Linked DNA regions of Caenorhabditis elegans. The protein of the gene in region 3 interacts with the protein of the main gene of each other region in a pairwise test. Each region holds a gene or a part of one and is shown on either strand. Other genes may lie near its edges.

Evidence for each region.
Region 1: the proteins of nhr-69 (region 3) and ifbp-1 interact in a two-hybrid assay, tested with the Caenorhabditis elegans proteins (2 studies listed by BioGRID).
Region 2: the proteins of nhr-69 (region 3) and mpk-1 interact in a two-hybrid assay, tested with the Caenorhabditis elegans proteins (3 studies listed by BioGRID).

Annotation. Positions count from the first base shown.
Region 1 is NC_003283.11:13,371,137-13,374,891, forward strand, and holds the start of ifbp-1 (Interferon regulatory factor 2-binding protein 1 & 2 zinc finger domain-containing protein), read right to left. Parts: upstream 1,885-3,755; 5' UTR 1,763-1,884; coding exon 1,431-1,762; intron 1,093-1,430; coding exon 855-1,092; intron 806-854; coding exon 589-805; intron 234-588; coding exon 1-233.
Region 2 is NC_003281.10:4,226,448-4,230,202, forward strand, and holds the start of mpk-1 (Mitogen-activated protein kinase mpk-1), read right to left. Parts: upstream 1,648-3,755; coding exon 1,444-1,647; intron 1-1,443. Other genes in the region: F43C1.5 (uncharacterized protein), read left to right, coding at 2,750-2,818, 2,864-2,980, 3,101-3,240, 3,292-3,368, 3,442-3,663. UniProt on the Caenorhabditis elegans protein: Functions in let-60 Ras signaling pathway; acts downstream of lin-45 raf kinase, but before the lin-1 gene product in controlling vulval cell differentiation. Plays a negative role in proximal germline proliferation in the mitotic zone.
Region 3 is NC_003279.8:9,879,419-9,883,173, reverse strand, and holds the start of nhr-69 (Nuclear hormone receptor family member nhr-69), read left to right. Parts: upstream 1-1,669; 5' UTR 1,670-1,680; coding exon 1,681-1,837; intron 1,838-1,942; coding exon 1,943-2,008; intron 2,009-2,057; coding exon 2,058-2,200; intron 2,201-2,416; coding exon 2,417-2,572; intron 2,573-2,766; coding exon 2,767-2,912; intron 2,913-2,967; coding exon 2,968-3,147; intron 3,148-3,194; coding exon 3,195-3,300; intron 3,301-3,345; coding exon 3,346-3,444; intron 3,445-3,715; coding exon 3,716-3,755. UniProt on the Caenorhabditis elegans protein: Orphan nuclear receptor which, in cooperation with R-SMAD daf-8, modulates the Insulin/IGF-1-like signaling (IIS) pathway, perhaps by regulating expression of the potassium channel exp-2, which in turn modulates the secretion of insulin-like peptide daf-28.

The DNA.
Region 1 (3,755 bases), on a different chromosome or scaffold from region 3:
GTACATATCACTGCTCTTGCATTGATCCTTGATGCTGCTCCGCGAGCATGGGAAGCAAAACTTGTGAATGCTGACTGTTGGGCATTGTACAAAGTGGGTGTCTTCTAGACGTTCATTGCACAGTGTACATCTCAAAACTCTCTCAATTGGGGCGATCCCTCTCCGATCCTTAACTCCCGGATGGTCTGGTGAATGAGTTGAGGTTGGCGAGGCAGTTGTCGTTTGGGCATCGCCTGAAAAATAGAAGATGATGATGATGAGGGGGTGATGACCCTGGGTGCCAGGCGCCGACAACGACGCCACAACCAACTACACTACCATCCTCTAAAACCGGTTCCGTTTTCAAAGTGTTGACCCCATATCTAGCCCTTTATTTCTCTCGAGGTCACTCATTCAACTCGCTACTCTTTTCTTCTAATTCTTCTAAATTCGGCTGGTTTTCTGTCGGGTCTATCGGTATTACGCAATTCGAGAGGGTGACAGAGAGACGATACACGGGCTAATCGGAGAGAGAGAAGGGGGCACTACTACTTTACGCAACAACCGGTTTTTTGGGACGATGTCAATTTTAAATTCTAACTGACATACCTCTCTGCACTTTTCCATATATTTCAGGCTTCTGCTCTTCGTCAGATTCACGTTTTCTTGGATTTGAATAAGTTGTGCTTGGAAGCATGCTCATCATGAATGGAGCCAAGAGATGAGAATTTGGGCCCAAGCTTCGAAGAGACTGTTGAATAAGATCGTCAACCGCCCGAGGATTGGCTTGTGTCATTTGCAGAAGTCGTTGATGGGTCAGAACTTGCTGAAAATAAATTTGTAAACTATTGCAGTTTTCAATTTTATATGTTTACCTCCAAGTTGTTCATAGTTGGCACATGGAATGGGGACGTGGGAAGTACCGTTGGCTGAGGTGTCCTTTGTGGGCTTATCCTTCCGATTCCATTAGCAGAAGTGACTGGTAATGTTTGAAGGGGTTGTTGTTGTGTAAGTGTAATATCTCGGAGGGATGTCTTTGCATTCTGTGGATCACTGATTCCAACTCCTTGGAGTTTCTTTTGTTGGCGTGTTTCTTCAAGTACGAGTTCAATTCTGAAACAGAAAAAGATATTTGGTGACAAAAAACAAAAAAAGTTCAATTGGTCTTGAAACCTTTTTAAAACTATAAGATCGTGAAGTCCTGCAATTTATAAAAAATTTCGGCAGAAAAATCGTCAAAAAAATATGTTCTTTTTCTAATTTTTTTCAAAAAAAAAATTCTTTAAAAACTTTAGGAAATCTATTACAGAACAAACTTTTAGCTTGCAGTCTTATAAGAAAAAGGGTGTCAAATTTTCATGTCCTGTATCAATATAAGAAAACTTGTGACTTTCACTTTGGAAAATTTTAAAATCGAAAGGAATTTTCATCATCATTATTTCCAAACAAACCTGTCTGATCCTTCATAATTGACGCATCCTCTGCAAACTGGCTCAATATAATCATTTATGATTGCCCACGGCCAGCGTGGCAAATCACACAGGTAACATTGTTGTCTTGGTAATTTCTCATTTGAATTATTATTCGCCTTCATTCCAGCAGTTGTTGCAGTTAGAAGTGAAGCAGAACCGTTGACAGAGGCCAATGAGACGGCGTTCGGAGCCGCGAGCATCTGGAGTGATAGAGAATAATCGACAGTATTATTGTTGTTAATTATAGAAGGTGTTGGAGAAAGAGACATCGATGCCTGCAGAAGAGCAGCCGACTCAGCGAACGAGCCCATTTCCACGAGAGGAATGATTGCAAGAATGATGGGGTAGAGGAATAGGAATGGCGCGTTTCAAGTTCGTGATGGAAGAGAGGGAGAAATTCTAGAGATAAGAAAGATTCCTGACCGAGACGAATAGGGTCGAGAGGTGAAAAAACTAGGCATGGTTTTTTAGTGATAAAAGAAGAAAAGCCGGCAGCTGATAACAGAACGCTGATGCTCTGGTTGCACACAAACAGGGTTGTTCCATGACTTGGTAAACTATTAGGGTAATCGAATATTTTTTTGTATTATTTCAAATAAACAATGGAAAATATCAAAACCATGAGCATGCGTGGGTCCGAACTATTACAGCGATGTGTAACACTTTTTTTGGATGACGAAGAACTCTATGAATAATCGACGAATAGAAGGAGACAGTAAGGGGCGAAGCACTGAGTGACGCATTGAGCACATTGTATTACTATAGTTGTGTACAAAGAATTGGCAAAGAAAAGCTGCAGGAGAAAAAATAAAAAGAAAAAGAGGTGGGTTCCGAGTCTTCGACCTCTCCTCATTCATATTCCACAAGACGTATGGATAGTGCATATCATTAGCATCGGATCTGCATCTTAATAAAGGAATTGGAATGGAAGAAGGCAACTCAAAATTGGCTCCGAAAATGCAAAAATGAGGAGACTCCCTCTGTTTTTGAGACCTTCAAATGTTTTGTTGGGGGAATAACTATTATCAAAAGTGATCAAAATTTCTGACTTATCACAGTTGCACAAAACATCAATTTGCTCAATTTTCAGATCAACATGTTCCTGTTTCTAGATTTTAGATGTTTTGTTATTTGTTATCAGTTCTAGATTTTCCTAGACGCTATAATGGCTAATTGTCAACAAGGCTTGAAAGGTCACTAAACCCCTCCTTATTGGAGAAAAACCCTTCCCAACAACTGATAAGCGGTACGAAGACCAAAGTAGAGGTGTGTGATTTCATTTTGAAAAGATAGAAACACAAGTGAAAGTCGAATTGGCGAGTCATGAGAATAAGTGAGAGAAACCTTCCGATAAGGCCATCCATAGATGTGCTAGGCCGACCAATATTTATTTGGAGCATAGTTCATTGATACTGAAAGCTCAAGAAAAACTATATGAAAGAAATATGGAGATTAGATCTCTCTCTGTGACATGGTGCACCACGTTGCACAATGGGGAAGAAAACGTGGATGTTTGGATGAAAGGAAAATGAAGAGAAATGGGAAGAAATGCAAATTTCATGTTGGCACAATAGATATGCAAAATAAATGGGGGGAAGAAGAATTCTCGATAAGTGCCTTTAACTGAAAAAAAAGATGATTCAGAAAGAATTATCATATTGTTTTAGAAAATTATGGATCTAAAAATGTAGAATAAACAATGTGTAATTGCACTACTGATATTTTGAACAAAAAACCTAAACCAAGATAATTTTGTAAACAACTTTGTTTCAACTCGGGGCTTTGAGCAGAGCATTTGCACATTTACTTTTTTTCAAGCTTGAGAAGGTGCTGTTAAACTATTCATGATTTTAAGCTGATAGGACTTTTCATCAGTATCCAAACAAAAAGAGCCGATCTTCCCACATTCGTATTTATAACTTTTAGCAGGAGTTTAAAATTCAAAAACGGGGTGCAAAGCGAAGTGACGGTCAGAAAACAAGAACAATAAAGAGGGTAGAGAAAGAAAAAAACACAAAAAATAGAAAAAAAAGAGATTGAAATGGTGACCTAGTATTCAGTATCCCAAGGAGAAGGACTACTACAGAAACTGATTGAAGGTCTTTTCTCTCTCTCTCTCTCCCTCTCTCTCTCTCCCTCTCTCTCTCCCTCCCTCTCTCCCTCAGAAAAGAACGGGCGAGGAAAAATGGGATGAAAGACGCAGACGCGCAGAGGTCAACCCTGTCGGGAGCGGAAGGATGATCGCCGCTCGCGGAAGGAAAAACGAGGATTGACCTTGGTGGTATGACCAAGAGGAATTGTGCG
Region 2 (3,755 bases), on a different chromosome or scaffold from region 3:
GAGAAACATAAATAATACACAAAGTACCTCACACCTCTGTCAGTCATTCACCCGGGTACACAACGGGATTTCAAAATAATAGTTTGTTGATGGAAAGCGGGTAGAAGATAGATCAACATCAATTATTAGTGTAAATCCTCGGGGTTCCCAAAGGAATACGTGTCAAAGTACAGTAAACTGTAGCTCAAGTCCGGAAAAAAGGAAAAATCTGGGTCATCTAGGCCAAACGCACGAAGAAAACTTCCGGAAGATGGATTCTTGTATTTGAACACTCCTTTTCGATTTTTCCTTGTTCGTTTAAAAGTTCTGATTTTCGGTTTGAAAAAAAAACATTGTTTTTCTCTCCAATCTCCGCTTGCACGCTGGAATGTCAATCAGACGACCAATTCAATTAATTCTATTAGATTTTAGATGTCTTAACTGGAAACTTTAGAAGAATGCAAATATATTCAATTTGGGGGACACTCAGATTACGGTAATTTGTAGTGGAACCTCGAAAATACAACTATTACCCAGTAGCGAAATTTTAGGATTTTTACGCCAAAAAATACGGTACCCAGTTTCGATTTTTTAAATAGTTTTTCTCATAATTAAAAAAAAACCTTTTTTTTAATTTGAGGTTAAAAAAAATTTTATCGAAAAATTTTGATGAAAATTACACAGCAAAGTTTAAAATTACAGTACTCTTTAAAGGCGCACACTTATTTGCATTTACCAAAAAATGTGTCGTTTCGAGACCGGGTATCGCATTTTGGGATACATACGAAATGTTCAAGTTGTGAACAGTTTTTTTCTACTAGCAGAAATTCAAATTTCGTTGAAAAACTACGATTCTAAGAGGTGTTCCGGTATAAACTAAATACGTCAATGAAGTGTCAATCTGCAAAAATCATCAAACCTTCAAGCTTAAAACACAAAGCACAATTTCTGGTTTAAAATTTGAATTTTTTCATTCAAATCAACCATTTTCATTGAGCTATTCAAACTTTCACACTTCCGTTTCTCTCTTTTCCAATTCAAAAACTACCAATCAACGTCACATCACTAATCTTTTCTTCCAGCACACACACACAGTACTCTGTCACGGTAGTCTTAATAGGCTAATAAAAGTACAAAGTTAGTGGTTTTGATGCAATACGCAACTTATTTTCCCGATAATGGGAGCACAATGGGCAAATCAACCCGATTACGTGCTATGTTCTGATTATTTGAACATTGTGCACTTTTTTGAAAACGTTTTGTGAATTTTGCAATTAAATTGAATGACTTAATTTTTTAATGTATTTTTACTTTCTAATTTAAATTCAATGTAGAAATTCAATGCAAAAATTTCAAATTTTCCAACTGACCAAAGAGCATTTTAATATTTTTCAGCTTCTAAAAATGCTTGTTTTTGTTTATTTTTCTCCAACTTTTTTTTTCATATTTTCTTATCATTCGTACCTTTCTATGTCCTGAACGAGTGTACTGCCATTTCTGTTGTCTGACGTGGTTGGTTGCTCCATTCGGTATGTTGCTCGAATTACGGTATGCCAATGATCCCGGAGCAGATTGTTGTTGTGTCGCTTGTGGATGCCCGTTCGATGGTGGTTTAGCATTTCTCGTTGTCGGCTGTGCGCACAAATTGTTAGGTATCCACGTTGGCATCATGTTTCGTGGTTCTGAAATTAAAGAATTATTAGTTTTATGAAGAAGAAGTTCTGGCAACGGATAAAAATATTTGAGAGTGTGAAATATTTCGTCGGAAAAGAAATTTCTGATATTGCAAAGGAACTTTTTTTGAAAATTCCCTCAATTTACCAAATTTAACTGTTAAAAAAAACTATAGATTTCTTTTTCTGAATTTTTAATGATTTTTTTCAATTTTGCAAAAATAAAAGAAACGGCTCCATGATTTTTTTTTTGATTTTTTTGTGAAGAAAACTTGACGACCTGAAATAAAATTTCGGAAACTTTAAAATCAGTTCAAAATTCGATTATTTAACTATTATTTCATTTTTTGTTTAAAAATGTATGAAAAGTGAAATTATAAAAATCCATGAATTTTGCCAGAAAGTGCAAAAATTCAAATTCCCTTCCGCCGATTTTGTATTTATATTTCAGCGAAATTGAATAAATCATTGAAAAATTAAACACTGTTTTTTTTTACAGATATATTCGGGACATAAGGCAAATTTTCGTATTTTCTAGCTCAATGGATACACTAAATAAAGGAAAAAAAATCGTATAGAACTTTTCCCGCAGTAAAAGTAAAACTGGCCAACTATGTAAAAACAGAAAATGCAGAAAATCTATTCGAAAGTTGTTTTTATGAATAAAAAGTCTATGAGTTTCTCCTCGTCAATTAATTAGCTTCGTCAGAAAATGCATAATATTGTTCCTGTTTTGAAGCCATTTATCTTTTGTATGGTTTCCCAAATCACTATGTTGAAGTAAAAAAGAGCAAAAATCATTTATGATGTCAGAGAAAGCTTTTTTCCGAACTTTAGAGACTCTAACTTGCAGTTTTTCAAAAAAAAAACTCCGAGTTTACTAGCAATTTCACTCCAAATTCTGCCTATTTTCCCTGTATTTTTTCATAACTCTCTCACCGCAGACCGATAATACAATCACCATTGTACACACACAACACTGTCTCATTCTTTTTGACCGCCCACCCAAAATGTTTAATATTTGTACGAGCGTTCTTCTTCATAATGCTGACTCATTTCATTTTCAACACTATTTTTCAGCTTTTTCTAACGAAATAATGACGGATTATGATGACTATGAAGACCGATCTGGTGTGGTAGAAGAAGAACTATTGGATTTTGATAGAGTACGTCTAGAATCAAATTTGGCAACAAATTTTCAAAATATTCAGGCAATGCTGGACTTTCAAGCTATGTTTCCCAGTCTAAGCAATTCACATATTGAATATGTTCTACGGAAATATGATGGAGATGTTTCAGCCACTATTAATGAGCTACTTTATGATAACGTATGTTAATTTTTTTGTTTATAGAAATTATTGCTTTACTACACGAGAAAGCACTGTCAGCGAGAATATTGTATCTCAATTGTTCAAATTTCGATCGATAAATTCCAAAAATAATTTCAGACGCCAACTACAACGACTTCTGAATCTATTCCACATGGAGGAGACTTAACAAAATTAAGGCAGCGAAGGCATGAAATAAACGAAAAACTGAGAGAAAATCAAAAATTTTTGGATACGGTTACAGATGTGGAAATTGCGAGGTAGAAAATAAAATTATTTATACACTGAAAATCGTGAGAAATAAATTTCAGAGCATATGAAGACCAACAACTGGCCTTATTACTTGAACACCGAGAAGTGAACACCCTTATCAGTGAGGAGAAAAAGAGTGAGCTTTTATTTTTGGGAAAATATGGGAAAAACAGGAGAAAATAAACACGTGGCGTCACAATTTCTTTCAGAAAAGTCATGTTCTGACTCATCTTCTATTCAAGAATCGCGCCGGCATGTGAAAATTCCCGGGAAAAATTCGAAAAATTCTAAAATTAGTGTGAACAAAGCGAAAAAATTGGAACCGAGACGACGATCGGACGAAGATCGTGTTCCAGATGGACCATACATCGGGGAGGGAGAAGTAAAATCGGAGAATTTCGCGGCGAAAATAAAGGAAACGTTGAGAAAAGGTGGGGTGGCCATGATTTATAGGGTCGCGAGACTATGTTTAGTTGATATTTCGATAAAACATCTGTGAAACCATTAAAAATCACAAATTTCC
Region 3 (3,755 bases):
ACGGTGCCGGGTCTTGACACGACAAAAAAAATGATAAAAATTAACAGAGAAACTGAGAAAATACACGAGTGAAAAACACAATCTCATGGGAAATTTATAAAAATAAGAATTTAACAAAAGTTTGTCGTGCCGAGACCGGCTACCGTATTTTCGGCGCAATAATACCCGACAGTTCATAAGCCGGGTTTTTCAGAATGGGAGTCAAAAAAGGGTTACTGTAGCAGTAGTGTCCAATACATTCGCTTGTAAAGTACGGTACAAGGTGACCATCGGAAAGAACGGAAAATGTGAGAAGCTATTAAAATTACAATAAATCACATTTTTGAGATATCTGTTGTTTTCCATAACTCTTCATATTCATATTATTTCAAGTAAAAATCAGTTTGTCAAAATCAAAAAACAAACATCAAAAAACAAAAACTATAAAGATTCATTTTTTTGATAGTTTTTGACATTAACTACGTTGATTTTAACCGAATCTATCTAAATAAGTCAACCAGGCGAGTTTTAATGTTAAATTCAAAAAATTTAGCAAAAATGCTCGAAAAATTCAGCTGAAAATTGAAAAATCCTATTCTCCTCGAGAGACTGCGTAAATCCATCGCGACCAGCTCTTCCATTTCTAGACATGAGTTCGGAAGCCCGGGATTTGTAAAACCTGTAAATGAACCAAATCATTCTCAACCCCTCCCGTTCGAACTTCGAATGAGCTGCGTTTTCTTAAACTGAAATTCCAGAAATTACAGTCGTCTTTCAATATTGTATTCCCGATCTCTGCAAGACCCTTATCAGTCCTTCTATAAATTTCTCATTTTCTCTACCCACTCTCTCATTTTATAATTGTCTTTTCGTCGTTTCTTTCACATGTTTGTCACTTCTTTGCCCCCTTCTTCCCGCCATTCTTATCAAACACCCATCATACGCTCTCCAATACAATGTATTCTTTTTCTTCTTTTTCCAATCATTTTCCTGCTTCTTCATACTCTCTTTTTTTGTTCTTCACACACGTTTTAAGGATCATTGACAATTTGAAATCAGGAAGATCAGTTTTTATGAAGTCGGGTACAAAGAAGGATAGACTAAACTAGAATTTTGTTCTAGAAAAGTTTCAACTAGAAATTGAGATACTTTATTAAATGTTCAGATTTGAAAAATCTCTATGTTTTCCACCCTGGCATATACATATATACCGACATACGTGCCTACAGGCCAATGGCGCGCGGAATATGCCCACCAGTAATTCTACATGAGCCAGGGAGTTCTCATAGTATCTGAAATTTGAAAATGGAGGTAAAAAATTAGGCAAATTGCAACTTTCGAACAGTTTTTCGGACGAATAAAGGTTATTTTCCAATAAAACAAAAAATGCGATATATTCTGTCACCAAATTTAAATAAAAAATATCGAGAGAACATGCCACACTGGTTTGCTTTAGGTTTCCTATTCCTGCATTTCTGTAAATTAAATTATGTCTTTTCATGAGTAGGTGGTCTTCAAAGCTGCCTTGTAGGCACGTAGGTAGGCCTATCTAGGCTTAGATCTATGTAAGATCTAGTTTTTGGACATCTAATTTGAATTTAAACTTGCTCATCAAATATTCTATTCCGCTTCTTCCTACTTTTTATTATTGATTCATATTATCTAATAGAGCACAATTACATAAATATTTAGACAAAAAGTATGGTCGAAGAAATATGTCATATTTGCAACGACAAATCAACTGGTAAACACTACGGGGCAATCAGTTGTGATGGATGTAAAGGATTCTTTCGACGAAGTATTCGCAAACGATATCATTATCAATGCAGATTTGAACAAAATTGTGATGTTACCAAAAGTATGTTTATAGTTTTTAAAGTTTTTGGGCCGTTGGTTTCTGAAATTTCCAAAAGCAAGTCGGTCCTCCAATGTAATAAATATGTAATATTTCCTCTTATTTCAGATAAACGGAACGCATGTCGAGCATGTAGACTTCAAAAATGTGTAAAAGCGGGAATGAAGAGTAATGGTGAGATCATTCCAATACTTTTTTATAAAAATAGCCTGTACTATTTCAGCAATTCAAAATGAACGGGATGCAATTGGAAAACGGAAAAAGACTACGGGAGCTGAAAAAGAAGATTTGATAGATCAACTTGTTGCCGCAGAAACATTATGTCAGCAATTAAGGTCCAGTGTAATCAAGAATACATCTTCACTTGTAAGTTTGATTGGGATTAAACGCAGTGCTTCAAATTTCGTCAAGAGGGATTTCTTTCAATTTGGAAAGTTCTTGATTTTCTTTACTTAAGAAACACGGTTTAATTATGCCGGAATTTGTACCTGGTGGTTCTTTTTCCGCCCCCAGAAAAATCTGTTTTCTAGTTTCACCTCTTGATCTCAGTCAATAATCACATTGAATCCACGTGTTTTACAGGCACCATACGACTGTGGAAAAGTTAAATGGAATTATGAAGATGCGAGAGCTGCCACATTGGATGATATTGGAAAATCGATTCATCAACAATTGGTTCTTTTTATCGAATGGGCGAAGTCATTACCTCAATTCTCGTTTTTGGCTCAAGCAGATCAGGTATGATTTTTTTTCTATGAAAAATTTCAGAAAAATATTTGTTAGATGATTTTTTTTTTGATAAAATCAAAAACAACAGAGATATTATTTAGCTGTCATAGTAGCGAGTTTAATACTGAAAATACTGCAATTACTTGTTTCATACTTTCTTTTTTAAAAAATGACGACTTCTAGCAACAATTTCATAATTCCAGGCAGCTCTTCTCAAAGGCGGTGCCGCGTCAATAATTGTACTTGGAGTAGCATATCGATCGATTTGTCTGACAGTTGAAAATACAATTTGCCTTGCAAATGACACACTTCTTCCAAAAGAACATGCAACACAAGTGGGAGATATCAAGTGAGTATATTCTCATTTCATATCTGTATTCTCAGGTTTTGTACAGTCATTTCAGTTGTGTCGTCGGACGAATTATTGATGAAATTGTGAATCCAATGAGGAGGTTAAATATGGATTTAATTGAATATGTTGCACTGAAAGCTATTCTGTTTTTCAATCCAGTCGTCAGAGAAATCAACGATCAGAGTCCGGTGGAGAACGCCCGATATGCTTTTTTGAGGTCATTGCAGAGAAGGTTTATTTGACAATACTAGCTTCTATAACAAATGTAATATATTTCAGGTGTACTGACAAGGCACTTGAAAATATGGAAGACGAATCAATGGATTGCAGAAGTGGAAAGCTTTTGTTATTACTTCCATCACTTCAGGCTATTGCTCAACAATTGGTTAGTTACAATTGTTATTCAAATTAGTAATTTATGAATTTAAAGGTAGAAGATGTCCAACTTGCTCGTTTGTTCGGTCTCGTGAATGTCGATTCGTTAATGGAAGAACTTATTCTAAATGATATGAAACCTTCAGATCCACAGGTAATTTTTATTTTGAAAAGCAGAACAATGAAAGGAATATCTTAGTTATTGGCAACTTTCAAAACCTAAATCCTGAGCCCGGGGAATTTTATTTCAAACTCTTCCAAATGTGGAATATGCACAACAAATTTTGTTTAGTCTATCTAAGGAGAATAGGTCAATAAATATGCGGATTTCTTTTGTGCTTTGTGACTGTTAAGCTTATGGTGGTTTTGTGGAAGACCCTAATAAGTTCCAGAGACAATTTCAATCTCACAATTTTTGTTTTCAGATATTACAAACGAGTCTGGCATCACCGGTGAACTCGTCCG